3 linked regions of the Arabidopsis thaliana genome follow. The protein of the gene in region 1 interacts with the protein of each later gene in a pairwise test. Each region holds a gene or a part of one and is shown on either strand. Other genes may lie near its edges.

Region 1 (3,763 bases):
GCAACCAACAAGGATTAGATTTGTGGGCCTCCGCCTCCCAATTAAATTCAAATTTATTTGCCTATCTTTTATCCTCTGAAATAAAATTTGAAAAATCTCTCTTAAAGCTAAAAGGTTATAGAATATTTTAATATATACTATTTTTAATTAAAAGCTGGGAAGGCATATATCCCTGAAAATATTGGTTCTCATCATAGCATAATTAAGAAATCTGAGCTTAAATAATCTAATCGGTCTCGAGTTAACATGCCCTTCACATAAATCTGAGCTTTATGCACTTCACATAAAGCTAAATATTTTAAGATAAATCATGGAAAATAGTGTGAGACTTAACTCCACCATTTATATTTTTTAAAAATAAAGCTATAGGAGTGGTCTCAAAGGGATCAATTTAAACCTTTTTTCATCGCCTCCCAAAAAAAATATTTACTACAATCATTAGTGATTTATTTATACTAATATATACATATATATATATATATAATTAATTAAATTAGTTATTGAGATAATCAATAAATGGGTTACTATATTCAGCTACCTTATCACAAGCGAAGAACCTTCCATATATGTTAAGGAACAATCAATCTCATTCATTCATTTATCAGTAAATACACATATTGATTTTGTAACAAATTCCTTTCACAATACACTTAACAATTGTCTTGAGTGGACGACATTGAATTGAAACACGAGTACACCACACATGCTTCGTCAGCTTCGACAAAATAATCAAAATAGATCAAAATACAATAACATGACCCAACCAGAATACAAATCAAACAATATAATACATGAAAAACAACAATAATCTTAATATTTCACTTCAGAAGCCTAACCTTTTCTGAACATTCTCAAACCCCAAAAGCATCCAATTATTATAAATCTTTCAATGCTTCCACCACCTTCAATCTATAAATCTCTTATAGTTTCTTCTTAAATTCACAAAGAAACACAAGCCTTTCATATTAAAGAAGAAAAAAAAGCAAATAAAATATTTTCAGTTTCATCATCTGTATATGTAACACACAAACACACTCATAGCTAGCTCTAGATTTTTCTTATCTAATTTCCAGTAGAAGGAGGTGAATTACAGTCGCAAACAACCTCGGTTTCTATTTCTCTCCGATGGAAACTGCGATGGCAGCCACAGGCGGCGCACGTTAGCGCTGCCACGGTACCTTCCTCTCCTCGGCTTGCCATGAACTCACGGCAGCCGTCAACAGCGTAACCTCCCACCGCCGCAGCGTGGTTCTTCTGACATTCTCCGTACCTCACAGTTCTCACTGTCAGAGACGAAGCCGTCGACGAGCTTCTAGAAGGTTCCTCTGGCGAGGCTCTCCTCAACACCACCTGACGCTTCCTCATGCTTTCTCACTTCAATTCTCGTCTCAGCTCTTTCTTCTTCTTGACTTTTTTTTATGAAATCTAAACTTGTAATAATGTATATATATTAAAGAGGAAGAGAAAAATGTATAATAAAGTTTTTGTTCTTTTACTTTAATTTCTACGGCTCGAAATAGTTAGGGAGTGAAAGATCAAAACAATTACAAGAGGACCTCGGTTGTTAACCCTAACCCTAGATGTGATATTTATAGCATTTCTGATAGCAATCGACAACCAAACCTTAGATATTTTTCTTGCAACTGCATATATATATATATATATATATGTGTGTGTGTGTAGATGTACATGTCATGGTATAGATTGATGCATCATCACAACCAATCAGACCTACTAAGCTAATCTACCAGAATTTTGTTTTTGATGGGTATATCATATATGTATATCTGTCTTTTGTAATTAAATGACCACAACTATGCATTGAATTATAATTACAAGTTTTGTTTTCTTGTTACCAACCTAAATATGGTGGATGTTTTCTTTTTGGCTCATGTTATACAAAATTCAGATTATGTTTAAAGTATCGTAATTTTTGTTTTTGGAATACTAAGACACTTTAATATTGCAATAATGCGTACTAGTACTTGTCTCATCCGGTTAGAAGAAATTGAATAAGTTTATGCTGAATCGAAATTGGAATCTACTGATCTCCAGTTAAGAAAGAGATTATATTTGTCATCGTTCTGATTTTTGATCCGAATGGACGGACCAAAATGTCATAACTCCAGAGATACAAAAACAAAACATTCACGAGACATGGAGCCACCACTTTGTGAGTTAGGCACCCGTCTTTAGTTGATAATATCACCCTTATACATTGTATTTGGATCTTCCAAACTTCTGCTAGATTCCACTTTCGCAGAATACGTACTCTTACATTCCAACAAATATATATTGTGCGCTAACTAGTAACCATAACCATAAGCCATAGAATAAAATGAAGTGGATGAAGAATTACAACCTGCAACAGTAAATATATTACGACAAAAATTAAATTATGTGTGGAAGTTTGTGGATGCAACTTTTGTTCGATTTATTTTGCGAGAAAACCCTAAAATGATGAGAAAGCTTTTCTTTAAGACCAAACAAAGTGATTGGTTTTAAAAGGAAGGAAACAGCTAAGCTTGTCTTTTTAAGACCTAATATGTACTGTGGTGGCCCCCTTTAACATTCATCCTCTTTAATCCTCTTTTTATTTCCTTCTTTCATTCTATTTTATTTCATAATTAGACAGGTGGTTACGAAAATTATTTATACGTATCATAAAGAATCGAACTTGGTATCGAGATCGAATATATATGCATAGACCAAAAAGTGATTATGTCGGCTATGTGATATCTTGACCCACTTCTATAGTATACCCGAGGAATTGTACGGATTTAAATAAAAAAAATCAATTTTCGTTGTAATCTAAGTACCAATCAATATATTTAAGATTGTATGATGAATAGTCATGAACAAAAATAGAAGTGTGTATAAATGTATATACATTTGGACCTAACAACGTGGGACTGATAAGTTGGGCTACCAAACCTATTTTGTACATCATGAGGACAACGCAATCCTTCACGATCGCTTGCTCCTTTGCAGTTACGTATCGATTTTTTTGAATTACACATGCATACATTCATTCGTTTTTCGGTTAGACATCAAATTTTCTTATTCATGTGTTCCGTCAATCCTTTGATATTTTTATAAGAAATACATTGATATTTTCTCCTTCCAAATTAGATATAAACATAAATCATGAGATGGTATATAACAATAATTGCATAACCAAACGTTGTTGGTACTTTATAATATATATTTAAAAAAAAAAAAAAACTGTTGTAGTTTCATTGTTCCACACTAAACGTTGTTTCATGAGATTAACATCGGCTGAAAAAAAAAAAAAGTTTCTCTCCCAGGCACGAGTTTCGAGGTAACTAAATGAAGCAAATGTTTTCAAAAAAACGGGATCTTACCCACTTTTTTTAGCTATTCTTGGAAACTCCCACTTCTCCCTCGCCGACATCCCCCTCATCTCCCGTTATTCCGGCGTCTCATCTCCGTCCTTTTGCTCACCTATCTATGATGATGAAGGCGTACTTCTCAAAACTGTGTGACATTGTCTCCTCATCAAAATCACCGGAGTATCCATCTCCCTGCTCCCCCTTTGCTGCAGCCGGCTCTGGTTTCACTGACTCCTGCACTTGGTAACCTCTTCCCCTCCCGCTTTGAACCTCTTAAACCCCTTAAACCTTGTAAACTTTTGAAAACTGTTTAACCTTGCAACTGAACTCCCAAACTTGTAAGGAACTCTCCCTTTTGTCTTGTCTGGTTTGTTAACCCCTCCCTTTATGGACAAAAGAATACCCAGTTA
Region 2 (4,112 bases), on another chromosome or scaffold:
AAAGTTTGGTGGAGAGACGAAGGCGAAGAAGATGGTAGTTGGTGGGAAGGACGGATTCTAGCTGTGAAACCCAAATCACCTGATTTTCCTGATAGTCCGTGGGAGAGGTACACAGTTAAGTACAAGAGTGACCCTGCCGAGACACATCTTCACAGTCCCTGGGAGCTTTTTGATGCAGATACCAAGTGGGAGCAGCCTCACATTGATGATGAGCAACGAAACCGTTTGCTCTCGGCCTTAACAAAGTTAGAGACTTCAGACAAGAGAACCCAGGTATGTGATCCTAATGAATATAATATCTCATGGTGTTAAATCTAGCCTATCCTCCCCACCAAATTCAGACTTCACCCAAAGAGCTTAGGCCCATGTTTACATTAGCTTAGTTGGTTTATAGATCACATTCTAAAGCTTAGTGGATTAAGACACAACATTATCCCAAGAACTAACAATATTGATATAATGTGGGCTAATTTGTTTCAGGATTCTTTTGGCCTCCGAAAACTGAACCAGACCGTGGGAAATTCCAGCTACTCCAACAGGTAAATTTCTACAACCCTGGAAGAGTCTTTGGTGGAGCCAAAGCTGACATGGTTTTGTTCTATGGATTCATTCTGCAGGTTCCCAGTTCCTTTGTCTCTTGAAGTAATCAGATCAAGGCTTGAGAACAACTATTACCGAAGTGTGGAAGCATTACGACACGACGTATCAGTTATGTTGTCCAATGCAGAGACTTTCTTTGGTCGAAATAAAAGTGTAGCAGCCAAAATCTCAAATCTCTCTAACTGGTTCGACCGGACGCTACCTTCTTCGTAGCTTATCATCGCGCCTATGTAGATAAACTGATGTTTTTTTTTCTCATGTTTCCAAATTATTTAGTTAGGTTTCCTGCAATTCTTTAAAAACTCTGGTTCTAATGGCAGAAGAGAATTTTAGGGGATTTTTTTTCCTTCAGTTAGAAAATTTTAGGTTTAGGGTTTAGTTGGAGATAATCTTTTTCTTTTTGAAATTGTATGTAAAGAGAAATTGGAGGAGAGGTCAAAAACGTTTGATGCTTTGGAATCATCTTCTGTTGACTGACCAACCCCAAATTTGAGAATCATTTCTTTTTCTGCTAATGGTACAACAACAGATGAAATTGTTGACATTACATGTGCAAATATCCAGTCTACAATAGATGATCAAGACAAAAACAGTATAATTGCAAATATTTTTGACAAAAAATTGATGAATACTAAGAAACAACGTTTTTATAGAAAGTCTGGACGATTTGGTTGCTCTAGACAGTGGTAGTAAACTGAGTGATAGATATTGCTAGGTGTTTTTGAAACACTGTCAAGGTTAAGCTCCAATGAAATCAGTCAGTGATTATATGTTGATGACCCTCTCTCAAGGTTTGTTCTATAGTCACCAATTACAATTGTTTCTTCTTGGTATTGATATTTTGAGTTTTGTGTGTTTAGGATAGCTGATAGGCTTTTTTGTTAGTTTTATTTGATGGACTATTGTTTTTCAGTAGGTCTTTAACAAAGTTTTCTTCTGCTACCAGGTCACCTTTGTCAACTCCATAGCCACATTTTAAGGAGTGAAGAACCAGAAAGAATGAACACGATAATGTGAAGAACCAGCTATATATTTGTTTGTCTCTCTCATAATAATCTGACAAAATTTTTTTTGTAGAATCTAGCAAAATAATATTTTTTGAAAAATAAAAATATCTCCAAATAAATCTGAATCATAATACAATAACTAAAAATTATCAAAATAAAAATAAATAAGACTGCACTAAAAAAGGATTCTGGTGGATAGTTGGGCTTAGCCCATACAAGATTACGGTCCATGTGGTTTAATCGGTTTAGGTGGATGATATTGATATGGGGTTTCGATATTTCCCTTATATATATGAGACTGAGAGATAGAAGAAGCCTTCACTTTTCAATTATCTTTCTCCACACTCAACAAAATTGAGAAAAATCAATCAGAATGGTGAAAAAAGGTGGCACGAAGAGGAAGATTGCGATTGAGACGATACAGAAGAGAGATTCCCTTAGGGTTACCTGCACCAAACGCCGTGAAGGTCTCTATAGCAAAGCCTCTCAGCTTTGTCTTCTCTCAGACGCACAGATCGCTATCTTAGCGACTCCTCCTTCTTCTGAATCCAACGTATCCTTCTACTCTTTCGGTCACTCCTCTGTTGATGCCGTTGTCTCTGCTTTTCTCTCCGGACAACGTCCTGTTCCGAAGGATAACAAAGAGACGAGGGAGGACGTTGGTATCTGTTTGACTCGCAATAATCTAGGGTTAGGTTTTTGGTGGAACGACGAGAGCCTTGCCAGATCGGAGAATCCTCAAGAGATTAGTGAAGCGATCGACTCTATGCGGACGCTGTTGAGGAATCTCAAGGAATTGCGTGCGGATGAAGCTTTAGCCTGTAATCAAGCTTTCGTTAATGATCGCGAGGACCTGAAGAACAACGACAAGTGCGATTTTGTTTCAGACCACGAAACTCATGATCAAACCCTAATTCTTCAGTCCGCTTCTCCAATTTGTTGCATCCCAGAAAATCTCAACGAGATTACTCAAGAGCCAAATCAAACCCTAAATATTCAGTCGAGTACTTCTGCAATTTGTTGCGTCCCTGATAATTCACCTGAAAATTTCAATGAGATCACTGAAGAACAAGATCAGATTCGCTCGATTTGTGAAACTTTTTGTGTTATGGATAACAACGCTGCTTTACCTGAAATGAACCTGGATTACGATCAAGACATTGGCTTCGACACGCCTTTTGAGAGCGCGCTAAATGATTGGTTTTCGGACAACACTACTCATCAGGAGATTAGTGCAAGTATTTTGAACGCTGTTGTTGATGATCAAGTCTCGGTGGATCTAACTCCGTTTTCTTATTTTCAGAGATGTTTGGATGGAGATAATCTACGATTCTCTGATTGTTTCAAAGACTTTGCAAACACTATTTCAGCACTTTGAAGATAATTTCTCTGCAGTTTTCAAACTAACTTCTAGTTACTTCTTTATTATATGTATGTATTGATTCTGCTAATTTTGGTTACAGATATGTTTTAGCAATGTAATGAATGAAAGGGTCTGGTTTGACCTCGATCAGTTTTCCATACATATATGTATGAGGGAAATTGATCGAAATCAAACTGGTTCTCTGCTTCATCAGTTTGGTTTAATGATAATATTTGTCTTCTGTTTCTATGTTTTGTATTTGTAGTTTCAAGTCCAAACTCATGCGATGAGAACATGACCAAGGCAACCAAACCACTTGAACCACAAAAAGACGAGAAGCAGCTTGTACCGGAGGAAGCATTAATCGTTCTGGCGGGTCCTCTAACAAGATCAAAATCTAAGAAGTTCAACCAAGCTATCAATGGACTACTCAAGGAGCTAAAGAAGAATCAAGAAGACGTGACTCAATCCTCCTTCATAGTGATCACGGCTCAAGAGGCTCGGTAAAGGGTTAAGTGTTGCTTATGCATTCTTTTTCCCTTATCAAGTTTTGTCCCAATGGGTTTTCTTGACAAGGTTTTTAATGAGGCCTAAGGAACACTTTCAAGCCTCCCTTTATCAGCTCAATTCGTGGTCCAAGGCCCACTCACAATGCCGTGGCCCATTTTCTATTTTCTCTTCAAACTTTGCATTTATTGTTTTTGTTATTTCCAAAACTCTTTGCATGAGTGTGTACTTGTGCATGCTCTTGCATGTCTTTCTTCTCTCACCTCTTCCCCTTCTTCCTCCTCTCCTATATAAACTCATTGTAGTTCTCATTTGTAATCATCAAACATTTTAATCAAAAACTTTCTCTTTCACTTGTTTGATCTGAAAAGTGTGTAGTATCTTTTCAACTTGTTTTCTTCTTAGTGTGTAATATCTAAGTTGGATCCAAGCTCGTAGTCTAAGAGTCTTTCATCACTCTTGGAAGTACAATTCGTTCCCCTTTCATTCCGCTGCATCCACTCGATCTCGTCGCCATCCCCATTCATCGTCTTTCCACCGCTTTGATTAAGATCAATCCATTATTCACTATCAACTACATCATTTCCAATTCAAAACCAACAAAGTGAGTCCTTGGAGTATAGATCCACTTCCAG
Region 3 (5,683 bases), on another chromosome or scaffold:
AATCAAGGAAGGAAACTCCGTGAGCATGTTCTTACCACCTCGTATAATTATATTCTTATTATACTTGTACTAATATTAAAGTTGTATAATTAGGAAAAAAAAGAACATATCACATGTAATAAGTAATAAATATAGTGAAAAAGGAGAGGCATGTGAAAGTGGGGGGAAGAAGAAGAGAAGACAGCTGTGTATCCGCCGCTCTCTCTCTTTCTTTCCCCTTCAAGAAAGTTCTCCACTTCCACCGCCCACCTTCTTCTTCTTCTTCACCTTCTTCTCTAACCATTATTATTAATTAGCATCTTTCATTTTGTTGTTAGAAGGAAATAGTTTGTTTTCCTTTTTTGTGTATAACTAGAAATGAGCGGTGTGTTTTTGTGTAGAGTGTGATTTGGTAATGAAAATGAGTTTTTTTTTTATTTTGTGTATGTTTGTGTAGGTGAGAGGTATTAAAGAGTTGTATAATGTGATAGTATGAGTGTCTGCATCGATGTCTTGAGTTTGCAACTAATTTTAGATATGAGGCTATTCAATTTTTGATTGATCACTTATGTCTATCTTCACCACAGCTTTACTATCTCAAAAAATGTACTTATTTTCATTATTTTTCACCTAATTGTTATAAGGTTTCTTTATTAGTTTGTTATCTTGTACTTTTGTCGAAAATTCTGGTTACCACCAATACATAAAATCATCATCTTGACTTTTGTTTTGATTCACATATATATGTGCAAAGGAAATTAACAGTTTCATTTTTAATTAAAAACCAAACGAGTTACTAAAAAAAAAAGCGATGTCAAGCTATCAACATTTAACTAAACGAATGTCTTATTTTTTGGAGAAAAAAATAAATTCAAAGAACATATCAAAGATCACTTGACGTCACGTTTGTTTATTTATGGGATTTTGCAGACCATGCATGTTCTTGATTCCAAATTATGCCAACATACAAGAATCACTTGTAAAATTGTAGCGTCCAAATGAGTCTAGCAACTTTGTTATCGTGACCAAGCCATCATATCAATTCATGTATGCTAAATTCGCTGCAAATTCAGTAAAAAGTATGTTTAAAATGACATAAACGAAATCTGTTATAGTGTTGGTAGTGAGTGGGTTTGGCTTTGGCTTCGCATAAACTAATGCATGGGTCAGGTTATCGATCCGACCTGCCAAGATAGTTCCGAGTTTAAAATTACATGGTTATGTTAATTAATTATGCACTATGTATGATTCATAAAATAATTTCACTGGCTTTGGACTTACTATTTTTTTCTTTTCTTGACATCACTAAAACACTATTGTTTGATATGTTTCTATAAATGTATTATTTACACAATAACAAAAAAAAAGAGAGAAAGAAACTGTTGAATTGGAGAGGAAAGAGAGTGGGGGGAAAGATGTCAAGGCTGGTCCAGCTCAAATCGGGTAAAAACTATTATCAAATTCCAATTCTGTCCCTCCCTTTCCCCAAAAATCTGATTGTCACATACCCTACCAATCAGACAACGCCACGTGGACACCTTAGACATGATGGTGGGAGAGGACAACAACATGGGAGGCACATGATTTTGTGTTTATTATATTTCTCCAAAACACAATTTTTACCCAAAAACAATTTAATCGGATCACTGAGCAATGAGATGTTTGCGGATCCAAATTTAACTTTTAAAGCCTTCCTTACTCTTTGCTTTATAACAATAATAATAATACACATAAAATTGGATTTAATTAAATAGATGTGGACCTTTTTTTCTAAATAATATAAAAGAAGGAAGAAAATAAAATAAATAAAGAAAAAGAGAGAGTGAAGAAAAGTGGGTTTAACAATAATTTGCTGCAAAGTTAGAAGAGGCTTCAGCTTTATTAACTTCTTGTTTGCTTTCATTCTCTTTCTCTCTATCTATCATCATCATCCTCGTAATCCTCTCCTTTCTCCTTCAGACCCCTCCTAGTTGCTGTTTAAACAAACAAAAAAAGACTGCTTCTCTTTCTTATTTCTCTCATCATCATCATCAATGGTTTTATGAGATTTATATCAAAAAACATTGAGGAGCTAGAGAGAAAGAGAGAGTGTGTGTGTAGAAAAAGATTGAAACATCATCAAGATTGATGGAGCAAGGAGGAGGTGGTGGTGGTAATGAAGTTGTGGAGGAAGCTTCACCTATTAGTTCAAGACCTCCTGCTAACAACTTAGAAGAGCTTATGAGATTCTCAGCCGCCGCGGATGACGGTGGATTAGGAGGTGGAGGTGGAGGAGGAGGAGGAGGAAGTGCTTCTTCTTCATCGGGAAATCGATGGCCGAGAGAAGAAACTTTAGCTCTTCTTCGGATCCGATCCGATATGGATTCTACTTTTCGTGATGCTACTCTCAAAGCTCCTCTTTGGGAACATGTTTCCAGGTCTCTCTTCCTCTCTTCTCTTCCATTTTCATCAATGGTGTTTCTTGATAGAGATCCATTTGCATGTGTTTTTTTTTTGTTAACTTTTTTTTTTTAGTGTTAGGTATATATAAATAGTAATATATTCGAGATCAAAGCATCTTCACCATCCCCAAGAAAAATTAAAAGAACTGTTTGTTTATTACAGAAGTTGGTTCATGAGTTTCTGGGACGTTTTCGATTTTGAAAATCCCAAGACTCTCTTTACTTCCAAAAAAAAAAAAAAAAAATCCGATCGAACAGTAACCATAAAAATTTTCCAGCTAATAACGACAACCAAAAATAAAATAAAACTAGAGAATCTGAATTATTTTCATGTTTTTGGAAACAGGAAGCTATTGGAGTTAGGTTACAAACGAAGTTCAAAGAAATGCAAAGAGAAATTCGAAAACGTTCAGAAATATTACAAACGTACTAAAGAAACTCGCGGTGGTCGTCATGATGGTAAAGCTTACAAGTTCTTCTCTCAGCTTGAAGCTCTCAACACTACTCCTCCTTCATCTTCCCTCGACGTTACTCCTCTCTCCGTCGCTAATCCCATTCTCATGCCTTCTTCTTCTTCTTCTCCATTTCCCGTATTCTCTCAACCGCAACCGCAAACGCAAACGCAACCGCCTCAAACGCATAATGTCTCTTTTACTCCTACTCCACCACCTCTTCCACTTCCTTCAATGGGTCCGATATTTACCGGTGTTACTTTCTCGTCTCATAGCTCATCGACGGCTTCAGGAATGGGGTCTGATGATGATGACGACGATATGGACGTTGATCAGGCTAACATTGCGGGTTCTAGTAGCCGAAAACGCAAACGTGGAAACCGCGGTGGAGGCGGTAAAATGATGGAATTGTTTGAAGGTTTGGTGAGACAAGTAATGCAAAAGCAAGCGGCTATGCAAAGGAGTTTCTTGGAAGCTCTTGAGAAGAGAGAGCAAGAACGTCTTGATCGTGAAGAAGCTTGGAAACGTCAAGAAATGGCTCGGTTAGCTCGAGAACACGAGGTCATGTCTCAAGAACGAGCCGCCTCTGCTTCTCGTGACGCCGCAATCATTTCATTGATTCAGAAAATTACTGGCCATACCATTCAGTTACCTCCTTCTTTGTCATCTCAACCGCCTCCACCGTATCAACCGCCACCCGCGGTCACTAAACGTGTGGCGGAACCACCATTATCAACAGCTCAATCTCAATCACAACAACCAATAATGGCGATTCCACAACAACAAATTCTTCCTCCTCCTCCTCCTTCTCATCCTCACGCTCATCAACCAGAACAGAAACAACAACAACAACCACAACAAGAGATGGTCATGAGCTCGGAACAATCATCATTACCATCATCATCAAGATGGCCAAAGGCAGAGATTCTAGCGCTTATAAACCTGAGAAGTGGAATGGAACCAAGGTACCAAGATAATGTACCTAAAGGACTTCTATGGGAAGAGATCTCAACTTCAATGAAGAGAATGGGATACAACAGAAACGCTAAGAGATGTAAAGAGAAATGGGAAAACATAAACAAATACTACAAGAAAGTTAAAGAAAGCAACAAGAAACGTCCTCAAGATGCTAAGACTTGTCCTTACTTTCACCGCCTCGATCTTCTTTACCGCAACAAAGTACTCGGTAGTGGCGGTGGTTCTAGCACTTCTGGTCTACCTCAAGACCAAAAACAGAGTCCGGTCACTGCGATGAAACCGCCACAAGAAGGACTTGTTAATGTTCAACAAACTCATGGGTCAGCTTCAACTGAGGAAGAAGAGCCTATAGAGGAAAGTCCACAAGGAACAGAAAAGGTACAAACTTTGCTTTTCCTTGTCAAAATGTGATTGGTTTAATGTTCTTTGATAACTGAAATATGATTTGTTGGAATTGAAGCCAGAAGACCTTGTGATGAGAGAGCTGATTCAACAACAACAGCAACTACAACAACAAGAATCAATGATAGGTGAGTATGAAAAGATTGAAGAGTCTCACAATTATAATAACATGGAGGAAGAGGAAGATCAGGAAATGGATGAGGAAGAACTAGACGAGGATGAGAAGTCCGCGGCTTTCGAGATTGCGTTTCAAAGCCCTGCAAACAGAGGAGGCAATGGCCATACGGAACCACCTTTCTTGACAATGGTTCAGTAAAATCAGAATCATTGTTTCAAGAAAATGTACTTATGTGTGCATAGTTTTCTAAACAAAACACCCAAAAACACAAAACACAAACACACACACACACACATCTGACACCACAAACTGAAATATCAAGGTCTCATCGATCTTCGATTTTTCAGTGAATACAATTCTTTTTCACATTCTTTCCCTTTTGTTCTTTTCTTTCTCACTGTCTCTTGTTTGTTTCTTCTTGTTCATTGTTTTCTTCTTCCAACCCCCACATGAACAAAAAACTCTAGCTAAAAGGTCTTTTAGATTATTTTGGAGTTGTAATTTCATCAGCAAGTCTCACACTTTTTTTTTTTCTCTTAAAACATTTGTTGATTGGTTAATTGGGGAATAAAGAGTCTTTATTTTATTTTTTCTTCCTTTAAGGTAAGAATTAGAATCATTTAGTTTATCAGACAAAGATAAACATATATGACTGATTATTACTACTATTTGAATTGATATATGACAAAGATTGGTTTATTCACTTTGCTTTTTTGACTGAGACTCAAAGCCATAAGTAATTGAGAGGAGAAGAAGAAGAGAGAATCTGTGTGTTTTTATGTTTAATCCTTTTTGCGGCGCCCACAAAAACAATCCGATAAGCCATTATTCATTTTTGGTGTCACTATCAATTAAACAGGGTCGCTCAAAGTTTTGTTCTTTTGTTTCAAACTTTATTTTTCTTACAATCAAAAGCATGTGCAGGCTTTTGTACTTACAACGACAAGACTCGTGCCACTCTCATGTTAACTCATTTTTCATCTCTCTGTTTTTTTTCTATAACTTTTTTCTTTACCTTCAAAAAAACTGTATCAAAAAGTAAAAAACTACTCGTGTAAATTTACAAAATAAAAATAATGGTTTGAGAATATAGAAAGATGGATTGAGACAGCATGATCACACCAAAAAAAAATAAAGAAGAAGAAGAAAAAGAAAAGATTCTGTATCTTTTTGATAGAGAGAGTAATAATGGAGGAAATGGGTACAGGTAAGAAAGAGTAAGTACCACTTTGATTGCCAACTTGCTTTCACCTCTTTGTGTCTTAACACAGCTGCCCCAACGTGCAATCATTTTATACATATAAAATGTATGT

What was found. The genes of interacting proteins can lie anywhere in the genome.
Region 2: the proteins of MIF2 (region 1) and AT5G49420 interact in a two-hybrid assay, tested with the Arabidopsis thaliana proteins (one large-scale study listed by BioGRID).
Region 3: the proteins of MIF2 (region 1) and GTL1 interact in a two-hybrid assay, tested with the Arabidopsis thaliana proteins (one large-scale study listed by BioGRID).

Annotation. Positions count from the first base shown.
Region 1 is NC_003074.8:10,922,616-10,926,378, reverse strand, and holds MIF2 (mini zinc finger 2), read right to left. Parts: upstream 1,672-3,763; 5' UTR 1,366-1,671; coding exon 1,063-1,365; 3' UTR 566-1,062; downstream 1-565. UniProt on the Arabidopsis thaliana protein: Inhibits zinc finger homeodomain (ZHD) transcription factors by interacting with them to prevent both their nuclear localization and their DNA-binding properties.
Region 2 is NC_003076.8:20,034,039-20,038,150, reverse strand, and holds AT5G49420 (MADS-box transcription factor family protein), read left to right. Parts: upstream 1-1,945; 5' UTR 1,946-1,980; coding exon 1,981-2,985; 3' UTR 2,986-3,038; intron 3,039-3,235; 3' UTR 3,236-3,479; downstream 3,480-4,112. Other genes in the region: AT5G49430 (WD40/YVTN repeat and Bromo-WDR9-I-like domain-containing protein), read left to right, coding at 1-273, 481-539, 618-813.
Region 3 is NC_003070.9:12,050,744-12,056,426, reverse strand, and holds GTL1 (GT-2-like 1), read left to right. Parts: upstream 1-1,673; 5' UTR 1,674-2,106; coding exon 2,107-2,396; intron 2,397-2,491; exon of another isoform or gene 2,492-2,593; coding exon of another isoform or gene 2,594-2,766; coding exon 2,767-4,228; coding exon of another isoform or gene 4,229-4,261; exon of another isoform or gene 4,262-4,310; coding exon 4,311-4,568; 3' UTR 4,569-5,050; downstream 5,051-5,683. UniProt on the Arabidopsis thaliana protein: Transcription repressor that binds specific DNA sequence such as GT3 box 5'-GGTAAA-3' in the SDD1 promoter. Negative regulator of water use efficiency (WUE) via the promotion of stomatal density and distribution by the transcription repression of SDD1.